Drosophila melanogaster: one gene and its partners. The protein of the gene in region 1 interacts with the protein of each later gene in a pairwise test. Each region holds a gene or a part of one and is shown on either strand. Other genes may lie near its edges.

Region 1 (4,513 bases):
AGGGTTCAGTCCGCACTCACCACCCGCAAGGTCACCGGCTCCATGGCCGGCGTGGTCAAGGCCATGGATGCAGCTATGAAGGGTATGAACCTGGAGAAGATTTCCTCCCTGATGGAGAAGTTTGAATCGCAGTTCGAAGACCTGGACGTCCAGAGCTCGGTAATGGAGGGCACCATGTCCGACACGGTAACCACCTCGGTGCCTCAGGGAGATGTCGACAATCTGCTCCAGCAAGTGGCCGACGAGGCTGGCCTCGAACTCAACATGGAGCTGCCCAGCGGAGTTCAGAGCCAATCCGTTGGAGCCTCGACAGCAGTGTCCCAAGAGCAAGACGAGCTCACCCAGCGACTGGCACGTCTCCGCCAGGCTGAATAAAAATAGCGACGCCCTGCCCGTTGAATTTCTGTTTTAGCAATTAAGTACATTCAAAATATAAATAAGTATAAACTCAGTGATTGGAAGTCTATCGATGCTGCTTTGTCTACCATAATCAGAAGAATTGCCATGAATCTTTAAGTGTAAGTGTGCTGTTTGTATAGGCTTCAAACGGATTATGATTTACATGCTTTTCTAATGCAATATACGATAATCATGTTTTAAAGGCTTTGTTGTTATAGTTATTTGAAGACCTGCCAATTTTTGTAACTTGTTTACTTGGAAAGATATAGCATAATTTGGAAATAGAAATGGTTCTGCAGCAATCACAACTTTCATTGCTTTGGTTACTATAATTCATTTCTGGTCTTAGCTTTTATTTGTCTTAATATTATATTTAAAAGTATACAAGCCCTTTATCTTAAAACTAGAACACGCCAAGCAATCGCTATGACTCAGGTCAACAGTGGAGGTTGAGGTTGTTGATGCGGTGGTGCAATGACTGGATTGGGATTGATGGGTGCCTGTTTGGCTTTTTGCTTTCGGGGTTTCCGGGCAGCTGGAGTATTGGGTCCAGGCTCAGACCCGGGTGCTCCTGTTTCATCCGCCGCCTGCTTGTTTTTGGGCTTCGGTCCTCGACGCTTCTGCTCGGTTTTCCCTTTGGGATGTGGAGCCTCCATGGGAACGGATCGCCAGTCGTCTCCGTGCTTATCTAGTCGCCGTTTTAGAAGCTCCACGTCATGATTGCGCCTTCTTACTATCTTTTTGATCCCATTTACTCTGGATAAAAGGTACTGCACATTTTTGTTTACGTTTCGTGGAGCATAAAAATGACGGTTACCTCATCACACATCGCTCATTTTCCGCCTGAATCCTTTGGCACCTGTCATACAGTTTTTCCACCAGCTGTTTGTACATGAGTTCTTTCTTATTTAGCAACATTTTATACAGATATTGGTTATAGTTCAATATTTAGAAATGTTTTTATTTACGCCATGGCTCAGTGTGGCCAGATGGGCGATTTTCTTCTTGCTCCGTCTGTCGGTACAGGCGTTGCCACGTCATATTTATTCAAAAAAGGACTAGTTCACTTATTGAACTAAATTTAGCAAAAGTGCATAAAAACTGCTTGACATAATTGTCTTTAATTTAAGATTTAACTGGTCATAATAATTACTTTACATACTCGTTTTATGAAATGACAAAACCTGATGCATTTAAAATTATAAGTTAATGAAAATATAAACTATTTAAATTGGTTAATAATATAAATTTTATAATTTGCTATAACGGTTAAAGCTGTTACTTTTAGATGCAACTATTTAAATTGAATATCTAGTTCCTTAAAACTATTTACCCCTATTTGCACCAGCCTGGCAACTCTCTCATTTTGCAAACAGCCGTGTTAAGCAAACCCACAATTAGTAACTTATGTAGTTCCACAACAACAACCGGCATGCCAAACAAATCTTCCAGAGCAGACAGGAAGACAGCCAGAAGCAAATAGATATAGTGTTTGCGCCAACTATTATGTCTGCAGCCAACATGCCGACGACAACAGGAGCTCAGGGATCGGGAAACCAAGTTCCCACAACTAGCACTACGATTGTAAACCACTTCCGGGAGTTGATCAAGGAACCGAAGAACCTCGACGAGGCGGCCAACTATCTGTACCAGTCGCTGCTCGACGACGCCGTAGTCGGAATCTTTAACGAGACACATCATCTGCGAAAGTCAGGGAATCTGGCCGCCCTGGACGGAGTGCCGGAGGACTCAACCTATCGAATGTGCGAGATGCCCAACCTGGACATATTCGGCATCTCAACGGCCAAAAAGCCAATGGACTGCACCTGCCCCAACTGTGATCGCCTGGTGGCCGCCGCCCGCTTCGCCCCGCACCTGGAAAAGTGCATGGGCATGGGTCGTATCTCGTCGCGAATTGCCTCTCGTCGCTTGGCCACCAAAGAGGGCGCCACATCCGCCCACCTGCACTCTTCGGGAAATACCGGAGGCACTGATGATGAGGATGACGTGGACTGGTCGTCCGACAAGCGTCGAAAGAAATCAAACCAGAACTCAAGGAACAACGGCTCCAAGAAGAACAATGGCAAAACCTTTTAGTCAGAGCTAACAATCATTTTCGTAGTTTATTCTGCCATAAAAGTACACCTTTAAATCAGTCACCAATGTATTCTAAACTAATGGGATTTTGGTGATCGACCCCTACTCTTCTTTGAGATCATTTGAATAGGACAGCAGTTAGTGGCAATATCTAATCAATTAATATCTAGATATCATAGGACAAGGGTAATATAACTTTTCAGCAAATAGGCGCTTTTAAACATAGACTTTCCTGGTGCTAAATGAAGTAATTCAATGTAATAATATGAAAGCAAGCCTTAGTTTTATATTTTACAACTTAAAGAGTATATATTTTGGTTATTTTCCTTCCTTATCAATGGCAAACACCCGGATATGGTCGACCACTAGGGGTGTCCAGTCCGAATTTCTAGACAACTCCTCGAATTGTTTGTCAGTTTTGGGGTGGGTGTTTAAAAAGGGCTTGTGTTTCATTTCTAGAATGTCGTCATTGAAATTAACATTGCCGCCGGCGGTTAGGCCAAGGACTAGATGGCACTAAAAACGAAAGATCATAGAGATATTACATCTTTTAGAGGAAGGCGTCTTACCTCATGTTTTCGAAATGGTTCAAGAAGTGTCGGATTGTTTACTGCTCCGAAGAACTCGCCATCGAACTTAAAGATAATTTTGTCAGTCTGCCAGATAATAGTCGTGAAATCCGTCCCCATAGTAAATTTCCCCTGGCGTACAAGCGAATATGATCGAAAAAATCGTCATCCGCCTTATCCATACGGGGCACCAGAAGAATGTCTAAAGTAATCAAAACCATGTAGTGATTACCAGCTATAAAAACTAAATATCCACTCACTTGGAAACAACCAATCGCCTTTGGGCATTTTAGCTCTAATCTCAACTCGCCCATATTTAAAGGTAAAGTTCGTGTGCATGTTGGCGGATCTAAAGGTCTTGGAGACCCAAGGCTCCCGTTTCGATCTTGACCCCCTGTCACACTCTTTTCGTTTGGCTATTTGCTGGTGCAGCCCAGAAGAGTCATATTTCGCTCATCTCTGGTAATTGATATGTGCAAATTGTTGTTGGTTATAATCGAGTTGACAGGATCGTCCACAAAGGCAAAAAACTCCTGGTTTTTCCCGCCAGTATTACGATACCTAACCTCGCGTACCCAATTCAATGGGAACATTCTGATAACGTTTCTGAAGAACTCAGGTTAATCTAGGCCCATCAAATAATTCGCCAATTCCATTATCGTTGATTTTAATCTCGAAAAACTGAGTTGCAATCTTATTATTTCTCTCCACCACAGTTTGAATTCTTATTTTGGCATTGGGCTCAATGTTACTTTGTAACTCAATCTTTGCACCAATATGCTTCGTTATCGCACCCTTTGTCAACCAACTCGGCTTGAAAGTATATGGACTCAATCTCTTCCAGATCCCCGGGTAACACTATGAATACCTCCCTGCCCTTCACATTTACCACTGGATGCGGCCCCTCCAAGGCAATCATCAAAGAAACAAGACAACCTAACAAAATTAGAAAAACACAGCCTTTCCGCATGGCGGCTACCAGAGAATCCAGTCTTGCAATCATTGTGTTAACATGTGGGTTACTGCATTCCCTAGCATATAAGCTCTCAATCTTTAGCTGTTCTCTTGTAAAAATATGATAGATATGATCACATTGGTTTCCAATAATTAGGTCAGATATAGTATTTTATTCAATGAAATCATAGATTCACTTTTTTCATAGTTCACAGTTTCATTAGACCAAATATTTAATTAAGTGTTGTAGCTTAATGAGATCACGCGAGTCATATTCATTCCTCGTATTCATCGATTGAATAAACATTAAATTGTTGTATGACCAACACAGCTTGATCCCAAATGGGTGCATTGGTTACGGCCTTTATAATTTTCGATGATAGACCCGTTTCGAAATTGCGATAGCTCTTTTGCTCTGGCGGAATGCTGTTATCCGGAAAATTGTACTCTCCGCCGACAGTTAGGAACAATTCAATGTGGCGCTGAGGAGTTGG
Region 2 (4,131 bases), about 10 Mb from region 1:
GCCACTGGAGCAGCAGGGCGGATGGGCAGGATCACCTTGCTGTACTCCGGGGGCGAGACGTAAGCCTTGTAGTTGTTCTGGCCGGGGTACAGGAGGGTGGCACCGGCGGGCTGGACAGTCCAACGGGGTCCGTAGCCGGCACGACGGTAGTTGCCACCGTTGTAGCCACGTCGCTCACCGCCATATCCACCGCTGACCTGGATGGGACGCAGGATCTCGGGGGCATAGCTGCCGCGGTAACCGCCGGCGATGATCTCCACGGGGCGCTCATAACGCTGCTGACCCTCGGCTCCAGCAGCAGCTGCTGAGCTGGCGGCGGAGGCGGCGGAGCTATCCTGACCGTAAGATCGCTGTCCGTAGCTCTGCTGGCCACCGTAGTTGGCGTAGCAGCTGCCCACGATGCAGGCGCAGAAGATGACTGCCAGAGTCTGGAAAATCAGGAAAACTTTCAGTTAGCATAAGTCCGGAAAATGAAAGAGCGGCAGGGAATACGGAAGCGGTTCTCAGGGACACTTACAGCGAACTTGTTCATGGCTATGATGTATGGGTTTTGGCACAGTTGGCTGAATTAACATATTAAATGGCCAAGCACACTTCTTTATATAAGCAAATTTATTGTTGCACTCGAAACGTGATCTCGCCCAGAAATTTATCACGGCTCAAGAGCTGGCTTCGTCGTCTCTTCTCGGCCAGTTTGTTGGGGAACTTTCTGTGGATTTCTAGCTTTTCCTAGCCAGATATCGGGGCTCCACGTTGAGCTCGTTTCGGCTCGAGCAGGTTGCTCACCGCAGCGTATCGTATCGCCTCCATTCGCCGGTTGACCTTCGTTGGGGGTGGCAGATGCAGATGCTCCCAACTGAGGCCCAAAATCAATGGTTGCATTTGGGTGCGTGCGGGAACGCAAGCGGGTTAATGGGATAACGGGCCAACGACTGACCAATGGTTATTGGATATGGATTTTATAATATTATCTATACCTTCAAGTAAACAGAACAAACCAAATTTTAACGATAAAACATAACTTCAGAGTCTATGCCTTTATGCACATTGGCAAATATGTTATTGTAATATATATAGCCCTTTGTTTGATTATACAATTTAAGATGTTCGTCTAAGAATCTATTAGTGAAACTAAGGGTTTCATAGGTGACTAAATTCTTGAGTCACTGAAGCTTAACCTGTCGACTTTGTAGCTTAAAGTGCAATAGTACTTCTATATAGTATTGTACAATCTGCCGCAGTGAATATTCTAGCTGCCCCACTTTGAAACCCATCTTGTGTGTGGAATAATAATAATGACCCACCGCTAAATCTTAACCCGAATGCGCTGAAAAGTATGTCACAATGCAAAACACACAATACGTATTTCTTTTCGGTATTTTCCATTGCGTTCAAGCTGCTTTTATTCACTGATTCTCAGAGTTTCGCCATGACAGCCACTCGAGGATTTTAGCAAGGAGTCGATAGTTCAATTCACTGCCGATGAAGCGAGAATTAGTAAGCACGTTGGCCGTAGCCGTGTCCGATCTCGTAGCCGCGAGCGCCATCCAACTCGTAGGAGGGAATGGCGTACTGCTTGTAGGTTCCGGGATTCACGGCAGCGGCGGAAGCGGCGGCAGCGGCAGCGGCACTTCCTCCATTACCCTCCGATCGCAGGCTGCGGGGATAGCTGTTGTAGCCACGGGATGGTCCGTAGGCGGGCACCTCCTCGTAGACGACGCGCTGAACAGGACCGTAGCCACCACCGTAGCCACCACCATAACCTCCACGGTTGCCGTACGCTGGGCTGGCGTTGATGTAGGCGAAAAGGGCCAGGGTAACGCAGACAATCTGAAGGTGAAAAGGGGAAATCCGGAGGATCAGTTGGCTGCCACTCCTTCACGGGGACTACCACAACTTACCAGGTACTTCATGGTGAGTGCTTAGTTTTGTTGGTTTGGGGTAATCAATCAAACTATGATTTACCGACCAGAAACGCTCGCTTTTATACGCAAATTTTAGCCTGGACATTTACGTGACCTATATACACTAATTGTTCTGTTTCAGCCCAGAAATGGCATTTCATAATTGCCCGGCTGGAATATACTCACATTTGATTTATGTACTTGTTGTCAAGCCATTATAAAATCGCTTGGTTACGCGATGTGCTATTCTACCGGGTGTTGGGTAGTGATAGCACTACGAACACGCGACTCTTCCAAATGGGAACCACGAACGCGTTTATTTTCGAATACAGTCCAAAATTTGTTGAATTGAACTTTATATTATCCACATTCTCGGGGGTAATGGTTTCCAGGTCGGTTGTGTCCGGAACTTGGCTTGTCTAAGTGAGGATTCTTCTAGAACTGGTTCCAGCCGGTTTTTCTGATAAAACCTATATAGAATCATCCCTTTAAAGTGACCACTAGTCACATACAAAACTTAAAATTATAACTAAAACATTTTAAAGTATTTCAATCATTTTGAAATTTTACAAAAACATAATTTCAAGCAAAACTATATTCTATCTAATCTCATTTTATCTAATAGGTTCTTTACTTATGGTAACTTAAAAAAGTCAAGGCTTATTTGACGAACTATAGTTTTAAAGTGGCCCCACAAATGAATTTAGTTTTAGCTTTTCAGCTTCATTCGCCATGAGAATTATTCTTTAGCACTTTAAGCAGCATTTTCATTTAACTACGAAACCACGAAATTTTTGCTGGCTCAAAGTATCGCTTGGCATTGCAATGAACCGCAAGTCTATGCCAATTCAGCTAAGATATGCAGATCTCAATTCTCGGCCCGAAACTAAAAACCCAGCAAGAATACAGTACTCAAAATTTTAAGTCTTGATGTTTTGGCTTTTATTATTATGACCTAGTTCCTTATGGGCAGGTAAGTTTTTGGTTCACTGTTCAACGTTTTGCCACTTAGTAGCTGGGCCTCTTGTAGCCCTTCTTTCCGGCGGCCACGGAGCTGGCAGCAGCGGCTGCGGAGCCTCCCTTCACCTTCTCGCTGTGTCCGTACTCCTGGTTCACGTAGCTGGTGGGGGGATAGACGGGCTGGGCGTAGCGGGGAGCCTCCTTCCAGACCAGAGGAGCTCCAGCGCTGGGAGCGGCCAGGGCGAGCTTGGCGAGGGCAATGGCCTGGGCATCAACTGGTGGGGCACCGCCGTAGCCGGAACCGGAGTACTGAGATCCCACATTGGCACCGCTGTAGGCAGAGGACACGGGCACAGGCACCGACTCGTAGGCACCGCCATATCCTCCATGGTTTCCGCCGTATCCACCACCGTATGAGGGAACGATCGCCTTAACGGTCAGGGCAGGCTGCACCTGGTAGGCATAGCCACCGACTGGGGCACCACCGTATCCACCACGGGAACGTCCGTAGGAGTTGGCCGAAACGGCAGAGATGGCGCAGAGGCAGATGCACTAAGGGATTCAAGAAAAAATTCAATTAATTTGGGTTTAGACTGAAGTGTATTAGAAAAGAAAGATCCAATCATATTATCCAATTATTATAATATGTAGTTATATTTTATTGAAAGGATCATACTGGACTCAGTTGAGGTGTCAATAGAAACAATATTGGAACTTAAGGCTTACCATGAACTTCATCATTCTGAGGCTGAGTTGGTTAGTTGATCGATGCGAAGGTAACTAATGTCTTATTCTGGCGCAATGTTTTGTTTTTATACCAGATCCAGGCAGAGGCCCAACTCTTACGTGACGAATATGATGCAAGTTTCGGCTCTCCGGGTTCCCGCAGACGCAGTTCCAGGCCTCGCCTCTTTGTCCAGCAATCTTGAGACGCCGCCGGAGACGTGCAGCCAGGCCGAATCCGCACTGGCCAAAATGCTGGCTCTCAATTCGGGCCGGTCCAGATAGCAGGCGTCTGTGCTTACGCCATCGTCTACCAGAGACGAGACCCATTACGTAAGATTCCGACCGCATGACTCTTCGTGCTCCGGATCCGCATAGTTTCGATCAGTATTGCAGTTGCTTTGCCCCACGGTGCCGAGAGCTTGACACCGATTTTTCAGTGACACAGTGAAGTCAAGGCAGTGGCCTGAAAATTCTGCTGCGTTGGTAGAATTTATATACAAAAGCAAAAAAAATTGAGATAAAATTACAATAAAATTATAAA
Region 3 (4,926 bases), on another chromosome or scaffold:
CACTGGAGGTGCGTAAGAATTCGGTGATGGCCGAAAGGCGGAAGTCCGCGATGCAAACTCTGGGAGCAAAGAACGAGTACGGAATCACAACTGGAGCACCGGTGAGATTAGAAAAGTTTTTGGAGAAATTTTAGATACAGGATCATAACTTCTTTAATGCATATATGTAGATTAACAACAATGGAGCTCTGCCGAATCAGCGAAGCGGACGTGTCTCGAATGCAGGCATCAGCATCAAGGATGTATTCAATGTGAACGGTGGTGGTGCCGAGGTAAAGGCCAATTTATAATCATAAAATATGTGTATTCTCATGGAAATATTTTGTTACGTCCGCTTACACTTGCAGCAGATTTACGGCTCGAATGGGGGCGGCACTATCAACCAGGGTTACGAGCATGTGATCGACGAGGACGGCGACGGCAACTCCCTGCGGCTGACCACCAGGAATCCCCATCCCCACCCGCACCACCAGGTCTCCTGGGGCCAGAACACCAACGGCGGCGGCGGTAATGGCACAGGTCGCCTGTGAAGGACCCGCCCATCCTAGACGTAGAGCTAAGTTAGACCTAGGTAACTTGTTAACGAATTCCGCCTCTTTCCATCAACTGCCTAAACTTAAGACTAAGCCAATACCTAGAATTGTAGTCAGAAGGAAGGATTGTGTTGTATAGTATGTATAGGGACGCGAGTGAGAGCCAGGACACTCTGGCTCAGAAGGATCAGGTCGTTCATAAGGCTTCATGGCAACAGAACGAACATTATGCTTAGCTAATCACACTGCCAGTGTCGATGTGTGCCAATAATTGGGTGGCTGATCGCCCACTGTGGCAGCAACATTCATGCGATGTACTATACTATCATTTGTTAGGTTATCTTTAAGTCAATACCCGCGTGGATCATCCGAAACACGCGGCCAGTGCATGCTGACACAAAATACTCAACGTGGAGCTGAACCGCAGTGGCCTATTTGTACACTCGACGACATATCGAGGATAGTTCTTTTTAAATGAATAATCATTGATGATTTGATGGATTGTAAAACTTTTTAAAACAATAAATAGAAGCATCAAACAGATATTCGATATTTCTCACTCTCATCAAACTTGGGTCATCCCAAGGATAAGCTACATCCGAACCCACCTTCGGTAGTGGAGACCCTACCCCAAGTTTAGACCAATACCCGCATATTTTCGGCTTAGAGCCCTGGTACTATACGAATAACTTTATTTTCGGGAAAGGGTAGAAACATTACTAGACATCGCTTGCGGGACAACATTGATAACCAGCTATGATAGATAATAGTATTAGACACCCATATGGAAACGTCGTGTATGCTCGCGTTATCAGCGAGTTACCTTAGTGGAATAAAAGGTTGCCCTTCTTGGCGGCTATGGGCAAGCGGTCGCCCTGGAGGAACGGGTTTATGACCGCGTCGTCCAGCCGAGGATCGGGCATCACAGGATATCCGGCCTTCTTAGCCAGGCTGTTAACGTTGTTCAGGCTGTTCTCCTGGCCCATCTGCATGATGTACTGCTCCACGGCGGAGTTCAGGTCACCCTTGTCGCCGCCCACATCAGCACTATCCTGTTCCGAGCAGTCGAACATATGCTCGTTGTCGCAGGTACAGTCCTGAGCGGCCTGGAACTCCCGGCTGAAGATGGCCGTGTTTTCGAAGTCGACAATGCAGCTGCCGCCTTGCGTCTCCATGTCGTAGCCCTCAGGGCAGGGATTAGGAGGGTTGCAGTAGGCAGGCAGGCCGGCGTCGTTCTTCACTATAGTGGGATACCTGTTGGGACCCTCTCCCATTCCGCCGGAGATGAACTGGTGACCCCACAGCGAACTGTGCTGCAGAAACTCGTCATCCCGCAGCGAAGGATGGGAGGCAGCTCCCGATGCCGAGCCCGATTGCAGGATGCAGTCGCTTCCGCCGTCACACAGCCTCGCGTACTCCGACCGGGAGACCAGGTCCACGTTGTCCTTGGAGCCAGCGGCTGCCTCGTTGCCCACGTCGTAATAGCCCACCTGCATGTCTTTGTCCATGCGATTCAGCAGATCCGTCATCAAGACATCGGCAAGAATATCCTTGGCGCTATAGGACTGCACCTGGTAGCCACTCAAGGCGACCACGAGCATCGCCACCATCATGTACACACCTGGAAAAACATGGGCTATTCTCTTACCTCACCCACCTATAAATATTACTTCAGCAGACTTACTTTGCGAACGGAACAACATATTGCGATTCCAAGCGGTTTCAACCGTCCACGTCGAAGTTTGGTAAGGTATTGATTTTTCGGCGGCAGCTGCTCCGATTCCGTGTATATACTAACGTGACGTAGGGCTCTGTGCTTCGTGCGGCGGCTACCAGTTGAATTTGCGAAATATACGCAGATCCAATCGAAGCTGCCTTATGGCAGCCACAGCTGAAAGGACGCATGCGCCGTACTCGAAAGCTCTTTTATGTTGAAGCAGTCCTGTGGGGGGCCGAGAATTAGATTAGCGCCAAACTGCTGGAGCTGAGGTTTTCAGGCCTCTTTAAGCTTTATTAGTATAAAATGCTGGAAGAAAATAAGAAAACTTAGTCGCTAAGAAAACTTTATTTTCTTGAATTGTATGACTAGAGGTTTATGTTACACGGTAATACGCTATAAATTTCCATTCCCTCCTTAATTTAAAAGTATGAACTATAAAAAATGACTTGAAAGTAAAACTGAAGGAATTTTATTTTCAATAAATTAAAAATACACTTATAAAAAAATAACATTGAACCGATACTCCATTGTCGAATATTATGGTAGCGAAGTAGTAAACTGAACTACTCAATTATGATTTATTTTTTTGACCTTAGCATTTACTTAGAAAGAAGGTGGTAATAATTGAGGGTTAGGTTGCCAATTCGATGAAATCGAATTCATCCTGCATATATTTGGCAAGGCGCTTATGCGGTGCTGTTTTTGTATGGGCCACCAAGCCTCGGCGAGTTATAAAATCCATGTTGCAAGGCTCACACCTAAACGCAAAAAATACGATATTAAGACATATGACTGCGCAAGCTGACAAGCTTACCTGAACTTTCGGATTTGCTTTGAGTGTGTCGAAAAGTGGTTCTGCAATTCGGAAACGCTGCTGAAGATCATTCCGCATTCTAGGCATGGATAAGGTCGTTCGTTCTTATGGGCTCTAAAATGAAATTGGAAGTTGCATATAGTGCTGCGCTAGCATTCAATTCCCAGCCTCCTTACTTGTCGTGCCGCAACTTAGCGCCCAGAGACGCGAAAGCCTCGTGGCAGATGGTGCACTGGAACCTGCGGTTAATTAAATGAACCTGGGTGCGATGCTGCTTGAGAAGCGCCTTCTTGTTAAAAGTCTGTGGGCACTCAGGGCAGGGGAAGAACTGGTTCATATCCCGCCGGTTCTGGTGCCCATTTAAATGCTCGGTGTACAGGAACGCATCGTGGAACAGGGTTCCACACTCGTCGCAGATAAAGAAGTTACTGCGCCTCTTGGCGGCCCGCTCCATTTCCTGCTCCTGTAGATCCTCCTGCTGCGCCGCTTCTGCTGCCGCCTCTGCTGCCGCTATCACAGCGGCAGAGGGGTCGTCATCCAGCTCGATTTCCTCTAGGTCTTGGTGTTCCTCTTTCGTGCCTTGATAACAAACGTACTGGTCGTCATCGTAGTGCGTCTCCAATTGATCCGCATCGATCAGTTGCTCGTCCAGCGGCTCGGAACTAAGCTCAACGTGAACAGTGCTTTGATCACTGGTCTTCTTTATGATATCCAGCAGGTACTTTTGCGAGAAGATGCACCGCTCGCGGAACTTGGTGGCCAGGTCCAGCTCGGAGAAGCAGCGCTCGCAAACAATCTCCGGCAGCCCCTGGTTTCTTGTCAGCTGAACAAATTCCAGGTAATAACAATTGTTGGCGCGGTCGGAAGCTGACATAACGACCTACCTCCACTCCCGTGATTAGCTTCAGTTGACCCAAATATTTTCCCCGCATGTGAATGAATATGTTGCGATCTCGCTGGTGGCCCATAATTTTGTTGGCGCAAATACGGCAAACGTCGGCGAGGTTCATTGTTTATCAAGTTAATGTGTTTACTTTTAGCATAAAACGCAGCGACGGAAAGTGTTACCAGATCATAAAACAGTTGGAAAAACGACAGTGCTTAATCGATTTGTTATCGGTGAATCCGATAGTCAGATACATTTTTATAGCGCAAAAAGATTTTTTATTCATTTGATTTTATTAATAGTTAAAACGATACAACATGCGCTTGTTTAATTTAGGTTAGAAGCTTGTAAATCCAAAAAGAACCATTAAAATTAAAAAATCAAATTCGATGCCCAACAATGCCATTGTTAACCAACATAGCCCCTGCAGCCAGTGATATACAATTTAAGTTAGTTTCGTTTTGTAAACTACTCCATCTATTATAATAAATAATTAGTTAAATTGTGAGATTCGTTTTATTTGCCGACTAACGATATTTTTGGGAATTGAACATGGGCGAAAATAGCGAATAACGAGCTAATCAATCGAAAGATTTCACACCCCTAGTTGCGCGCCATAATTTTTTGTGATATTTGCAAACGTTTTGAAGATATTTGCAGTTCACAAAGTACTTAAATAATCCGTGAAGGTCCTGTGCGCGAACCAAGACATTGAACATGTCCACCGAAGCGAGTGTGGCTTCCAAATGGACGCGCCCAGATGACGTGGGTAAGGACTCGGAGGAGCACCTGCCCGCCACTAATGTTGTTGTTTCGTTTTCCAGTTCATCAAACTGCAGCGGCTCAAGCAGAAGAAGAACAAATTGGCAGCCCGCGTGAGCAACAACAACAATAGGCGGCCAAGACACCAAGTGGATGAGACGGATAAAAGCAAGCTACTGGAGGCTAAGCTCGCCCAGAAGCGAAAAAATCC
Region 4 (6,127 bases), 9.2 Mb from region 1:
ATCAGAACCTTGAGTATTGGAAATGCAAATTATTTCAGGAATCTCGGGAAAGTAATGCTGTATGAAAACAAAGAATCCTGTTTGCGGCATTCAAGCGTGGGAATTTTTTTTTTTTTTTTGAAAAACGCTGTTGCTGCAATACAAGCACATGAACATCTGGCATAAAAATGAACTCTTTATATTCTGCGTTTCTCTTAAACTCTCAATTCAATTCTCTGCTATATTCAGCAGCATCCCGACTAATATACATACATAGATACATATATAGCAAAAAACCACCCGGTCGAGCCCCTCGGCCATAAGTGAAAACCACGTGTTTCGCCTTCGTTGCTGTGCATTTATATTTATAATTTTTTAAGATACTCGTACCAGACGTATGAACTTCAAATTAACCTTACTGTTCACACATGAACACGAATATATTTAAAGACTTACAATTTTGGGCTCCGTTCATATCTTATGTAAATGAATCGAGAGCGATAAATTATATTTAGGATTTTGTTATCTAAGGCGACATGGGTGCATTGCTCAAAAACATGTAATTTAAGTGCACACTACATGAGTCAGTCACTTGAGATCGTTCCCCGCCTCCTAAAATAGTCCCTTAGTGGGAGACCACAGATAAGGTCCTCGCCGCTCAAGATAGGCAGATGTGCCCGAGCGTGGGACCTCGATAAGGCGGGGACTATTTACTTAGGCCTCTGCGTAGGCCATTTACTTTAAGATGCGATTCTCATGTCACCTATTTAAACCGAAGATATTTCCAAATAAAATCAGTTTCTTACAAAAACTCAACGAGTAAAGTCTTCTTATTTGGGATTTTACACTTACAATTGCTCAAAATTATATGGTTATAGCCCTTAAATGTTGTGAGTTCTGGTCTGGTCATAACCCAATATGAGATTATTCCGACATTCCTTGGAATATTCTGAGTAAGCATCATACAATACTTTTATTCTTAGAAGAATCGGTTTATATTTATCCCAGCGCTTCATGCTGCAAAGCTTTTTTAGCATTTCATCAGCCGAACGTTTCTGTTTTGTGCGAATGGATTGCATTTGCTTTTTGTTTGTTTTGGAATCGTTATGTTGACACTCCTTATCTAGTGAGTTATCATCGAAACGGTGTTTGGTTTCCCCTTCTTATACATAGGTGTTCACTTTGGGGGAATCATGTTGCGAGTTCAGCAATTGTCTCACATTCTGCGGTTTTTAAAGAATTTTTGTTGATAGTGGAACATGATTCATGGAAAAAGCGAAAAAGCTGATATAACTACCGGAAATGTAAGTGAAGTGGAGTGACATATTTCGAAATTGTTTCAAAAACTCAACAATTCTTTTTATGTAATTTTTGTTTGGTAAATTCTCTTCATCAATTTTGAAATCTCTAAAAATATTTAAGCAGCTGTTTTCGAACGTCAAAGATTTCAGATCTGTTTGACATTTACGTCATTAGAAAAAGGTTATAGCCTCCATGTGCATATGAACGGGGGAAACTGCTGATTAAATACAGCTCCCAATAGGTTTCTAAAAAGTCTCCTTATCAAAATTGAGACACGCGTCAAAAAAAAAAAAAAAAAAAAAAAATGAAATGGTAGTAACTATCTGTTGTTTTGTCCTATCTACAGAGATAAATGCAATTTTCCCTGTTGTTCAAGGTGTTTAAAATAATTACCCGCAATTGGAGAGTTTGCATGCGGTTGTTGCATAATGTCAATCCTGATAAAAAAAAACCCAAGCAAGCCGCCACAAAGGTCACATTATCGTTTTAGATAATGTGCGACGATACGAATATGAACTTCGTTTTATTGGACTGTATTTTTGGTAATTGTTTTCTTCGACACTTTATGTGGAACAGTGTTTATTGAGCTGCCGTTCAATGGTCCAATCGATTTAAGAAGGCAAAAATGGCAACATGATAACAGAAACGAACTCAGGTGTTACGGAAATTAGTTGCGTCTAAAAATAATTAGTTTCTGTCGGGTCAGTTGTGGCAAATGAAGGGAAGGAAGGCGGTCAAGTGTAATGTCTGCTTCTGGTGGAAAATTGCGCAAGTGGCACATGTGTGCAAATTAGCGAAGCCGATTGACAGCCAGAACAGTAAAAAGAAATAAAGATAGGTTTTTGAATAATAATATAATATATAATATATATATATATTTTGAATAAATATATAAGGTATAAACCTACTATATCTGAATGCCCGTTTCTATGATACAATTTCAATTCCACTTTAAAATCGTTGGCTTAAAATCCGTACTTAATATTCATAATCCCAAAATCGTAAGATATGTAAATCAGATTTATTCTTGGAATATGCCAAATGGCCCGAAGGCCGCCCACGCAATCAACATGTTGCACCCACGTGCGCCCCTCTCTTTCTGCCTAGCACCTTTCTCTTTTTCACTTTGTTTGACACTTGCCTCTCCCTTGGACTCCCAGCCTCTGACGTCACAGTTTTACTGCGTCTTTGACTTTAGCTTGTAAATTTCTGTTATGCTAATTACCAACAGCGACAATAGCAACAAAATCAATAACACAAACAGAAAACGAGCGCGTAAAGCGAGGAAATGGTTACATCGTAAAGATATGGCCAAAAACAGGCGCACCTCAGTCGGCAAAAGTGATGAGATACACATACAGTGCGAAATAATAATTGTCATAAATAGTATTAAACGTTCAATGCCAAAGATAGATAGATAGATCTAAGATTAACGAATTCAAAGTGTATAGAAGTTAGTTTACTTCATCAATAGATTTAAAAGCAACAGAGCGATTTCAAGCACAAGGTAGATTTTGGATGCACATTTCTCTCAGTGCACCCATCCCATTTTGGCCCGAGCTCCTTTCGGCCATGTCCTTGATGACTCAGTTCGAATCGGTCTAAAAGTGTGTGGGCGTGGGTGCAGCAGTTCAGTGTGGGTGGGGCAGTTGCATTGACGTGTGTGTGCAGACAGCTATGATAGTAATCCATTTTATTTTTTCTTTTATGCGTGCTCTGCTAACAGTTAATTTCGTTTTGTTTTTTATTATATTTGTTTCGCTGGCATCGGGCGAACTTTCCCTTGGCTAAGTGCTCAATTACAGGTAAATTACGTATTGAAATTTAGCAAGAAACGTGGAGCATCAGCAAGTCAAATTGGGGAGAAACCTATTCGCAGCCATTGAACTATAGCACATGTATAAAAGCACTAACATCAAACTGCAATGGAAAGCGCGGGCAACCGAGGAAATGTTTATATTCCATTCATGACTCAGGAAAAACGTATTCTTTATAAAATGCCCGAAAACAAATCATCCAAATATATCCACAAATATCCACATATCAGCCAAAAAAATGTAGAAAGCCGTAATGCAAATAACGGGACAGGTGCAACGTGTTCGTTTTACGTTGACGTCGAAAATGCACGCGTGTCCCGTTTTTTTTTTTTTGACTGTCGAATTTTTCGGTTTTTATGAAAAGGTTTCGGTTTTAATTGTCACTTCGGCTATTTATGGTTCGCTAAAGCCGTTTTTTTCTCCTGCTTTTTGTTTTTCGTCTGCTTTCGTGGTTCTCATCTACAACATGGCACATCATTCTATAATTCTATACTTCTATTTCGAATGTTTTTTTGAATACATAACACATGTCTGTTATAGCAGCAGTTGCACTATGCTATTTTCAGACAAACCCAATTTATTCTGTGTTTCTGCCATGTGCTTCAAGTGTTGCCCTCTTTTCGCTTCCCTTGTCTTAAATCCGGCGACTGTACAGTAGTTCAGAATTTATGCTTACTTAATTGCTCCTTCTTTCTCTGAAGTGCTGACGAATTGGTGAATGCCGCGCAAATCAAACACTCCTCCCGGTCAATCGCCTTTTAGGCGAATAAAAGTTGTAATAATGCCAACAGTTTGGGCAGTTAAAAAATCGGAGATATCTCCCGCGACACAAAAAGCCGTGCGGACTGCGCGAACACCAAACAGCAACTAAAATGAGAAACACAGTCCCTGCTTAAATATAAATACTGAGAGAGCGCAACAGTGCTGCCGACATTTATTTTACTTTATTTTATAAGGCAAGATGTAAAAATATTATATTTTAGAATACGTAATAAATTATAGGTATAGATTATGCCTTTAGGAAAATTATGATTTTTATTATAAATATTTATAAATATTTTTTTAACTACCTTAAGTAAAAAGACAACAAAATGCCACTTAAGGAATTTTTGTCAAAATGGCTACGATTATTAGAATATTTTTACTTCTTAATGAATTATTCTTAGTAAACACAAAAAAATTAGGTAAGGCAAGTACGTATCTGATTTTACAGCTTGATTTATGAAATTTTAAAATCCGATCTGGCTTTTTTCCCGCTAAAACAAACAGCTTGTAAATGCAGAGAAAGAGAAAAGCCGGGTAAGAGAAAAAAATAAATACGGCTGAAAGGACGACAAGGACAGCGACACGATGCGCTGAATTTGAGAAGAGCAAGCGAGATATGTATATTCCGCAAATCCTAAAGGGCAAGGGCCTTCTCCACTTTTTGGATGACGAAATCTAAGACCGGCTTTCATAAGCGTGGCAAACTCTATATACTTTTTAGACTTGCCGGAAATGCGAAACTTTAAAGTTGGAGCTGCGGGTAGAAGCGGTAAGATCCTTGCACGAAATTGATAAACAGCATTGCATCAGCAATTAGGTTTCGGTGTTGTTTAAGTTCTGGGAATCGAACAAGATAACCACAATATTTACGTATTTATCCAACTTTTTGCTCTCTCTCACGTTGTTCAATAATAATTTCCACCCGCTCAACAGCAGGTAAATACGTCCAAAGTTCTACAACTTTCTACTGATGAAATTCACTTTAACACGGAACCGGTATGTTTTTGCTAGTCATTTATCACTTATCAATTTATTTGCGATATGCGAATGAACCAATTACGTTGAGGAGAGCCAAATAAAGAAGATACAAATGATGTCAGGATGGGTTGGTAGGATTAAGATCTTATATTGTGTTGCTGATGTTTGCATGATGAAAGATATGTTAGTTAGTATGATGCTAGGAATTGAACTTCAATATAGTATTACTTAAAATCATTGCCACTACTTTTAAATAATCTTTATTATCAACAAACATTCATTTTTCTTGAAAGAATAATAATTTATTATAATCAGAATAAATGGTCACAAATCCAAAAAAGGAAAATAATAAATATAAATAGATAGCGGGGCGTTTAATACTTATATTTAACATAAACTCGCGTGCCGAATGGGGCTATAAATATTATTATAGATAGCATGGTGACCAAGTGAATAGATAAGCATAAATTTCCCACAATCTCAATTGAAATTATTTTTATTAACAATTTCCTGGGACATAAAATTAATTTGAATTGTTAGATTTTGGGCGCAAACTGTTAAGTCACAGAATAAAATTAGTTCAAGTATTAAATAAGAATAAGAAAACTTCAACAAATTTGTTAAAATGTACGTTTTTATTCAAAGAATCTTGCAAATATTTTGTTACGCTTCAATTATTTCGATTTCGCATAAATCATATGAAACCGCTTGAATTTCATTTTGATTATCTGCAAATTCCACTCATGATGGTATACATTTCCTTTGCAATAAAACCTATGCGATTTAAAATCTACAAATGTAAAATGGTCGGGCTAACATGAATACAATTTGAGCAAGAATTAGAAATAAGATGGGAATTGCACACGGTTATAGTACTTTATTTGTAGGTGAGTTGATTCGAATCGATTCGATTATATCTGATTTGACCTGATAGATGTGAATAATACGAGGATGTCTGGTCTGACTGTGTCTGTAGTTTCTATGCTTTGGCTAGTTTGGAACTGCCATTCAGTTACTATGGAGTTGAGCTTGAGCTATGGTTAGGTTAGCTGTAGATTCATCTGAGTTCGATTGAGCTGAGTGATTGAGTGTAGTTCGGTGTCTTTAAAGTGGCCTCTTAAGTTGCGGAGTACGTGTGTTTTTTTTTTATTTTAAAATCTCCCTTCAATGGACGTAGTGGGCTTAGTGTCTATCAAAATAAATGGCAGTAAATTACAGATAATGGTATATCAAAGTAGCAGTCGTATAACTCGTTCAGGTGGTCAACACGTATCTCATTTTGAATT

What was found.
Region 2: the proteins of Sgf11 (region 1) and Cp15 interact in a two-hybrid assay, tested with the Drosophila melanogaster proteins (one large-scale study listed by BioGRID).
Region 3: the proteins of Sgf11 (region 1) and 7B2 interact in a two-hybrid assay, tested with the Drosophila melanogaster proteins (one large-scale study listed by BioGRID).
Region 4: the proteins of Sgf11 (region 1) and path interact in a two-hybrid assay, tested with the Drosophila melanogaster proteins (one large-scale study listed by BioGRID).

The regions. Positions count from the first base shown.
Region 1 is NT_037436.4:18,679,081-18,683,593, reverse strand, and holds Sgf11 (SAGA associated factor 11kDa), read left to right. Parts: upstream 1-1,757; 5' UTR 1,758-1,905; coding exon 1,906-2,496; 3' UTR 2,497-2,557; downstream 2,558-4,513. Other genes in the region: Chmp1 (charged multivesicular body protein 1), read left to right, coding at 1-375; CG32202 (uncharacterized protein), read right to left, coding at 831-1,155, 1,217-1,317.
Region 2 is NT_037436.4:8,726,309-8,730,439, reverse strand, and holds Cp15 (chorion protein 15), read right to left. Parts: upstream 1,960-4,131; 5' UTR 1,914-1,959; coding exon 1,902-1,913; intron 1,831-1,901; coding exon 1,495-1,830; 3' UTR 1,374-1,494; downstream 1-1,373. Other genes in the region: Cp19 (chorion protein 19), read right to left, coding at 1-428, 518-532; Cp18 (chorion protein 18), read right to left, coding at 2,913-3,416, 3,591-3,605. UniProt on the Drosophila melanogaster protein: Chorion membrane (egg shell) protein; plays a role in protecting the egg from the environment.
Region 3 is NT_033777.3:5,374,242-5,379,167, reverse strand, and holds 7B2 (7B2), read right to left. Parts: upstream 2,389-4,926; 5' UTR 2,237-2,388; coding exon 2,218-2,236; intron 2,170-2,217; coding exon 1,358-2,169; 3' UTR 1,193-1,357; downstream 1-1,192. Other genes in the region: kkv (krotzkopf verkehrt), read left to right, coding at 1-101, 171-272, 348-530; CG14667 (uncharacterized protein), read right to left, coding at 2,885-3,011, 3,068-3,181, 3,244-3,890, 3,952-4,077; hd (humpty dumpty), read left to right, coding at 4,671-4,718, 4,778-4,926. UniProt on the Drosophila melanogaster protein: Acts as a molecular chaperone for neuroendocrine convertase amon/PC2, preventing its premature activation in the regulated secretory pathway.
Region 4 is NT_037436.4:9,501,358-9,507,484, forward strand, and holds the start of path (pathetic), read right to left. Parts: upstream 3,972-6,127; 5' UTR 3,775-3,971; intron 1-3,774. UniProt on the Drosophila melanogaster protein: Amino acid transporter which has pH-dependent electrogenic transport activity for alanine and glycine but not for proline. Plays a role in positive regulation of growth by directly or indirectly modulating the effects of the TOR signaling pathway.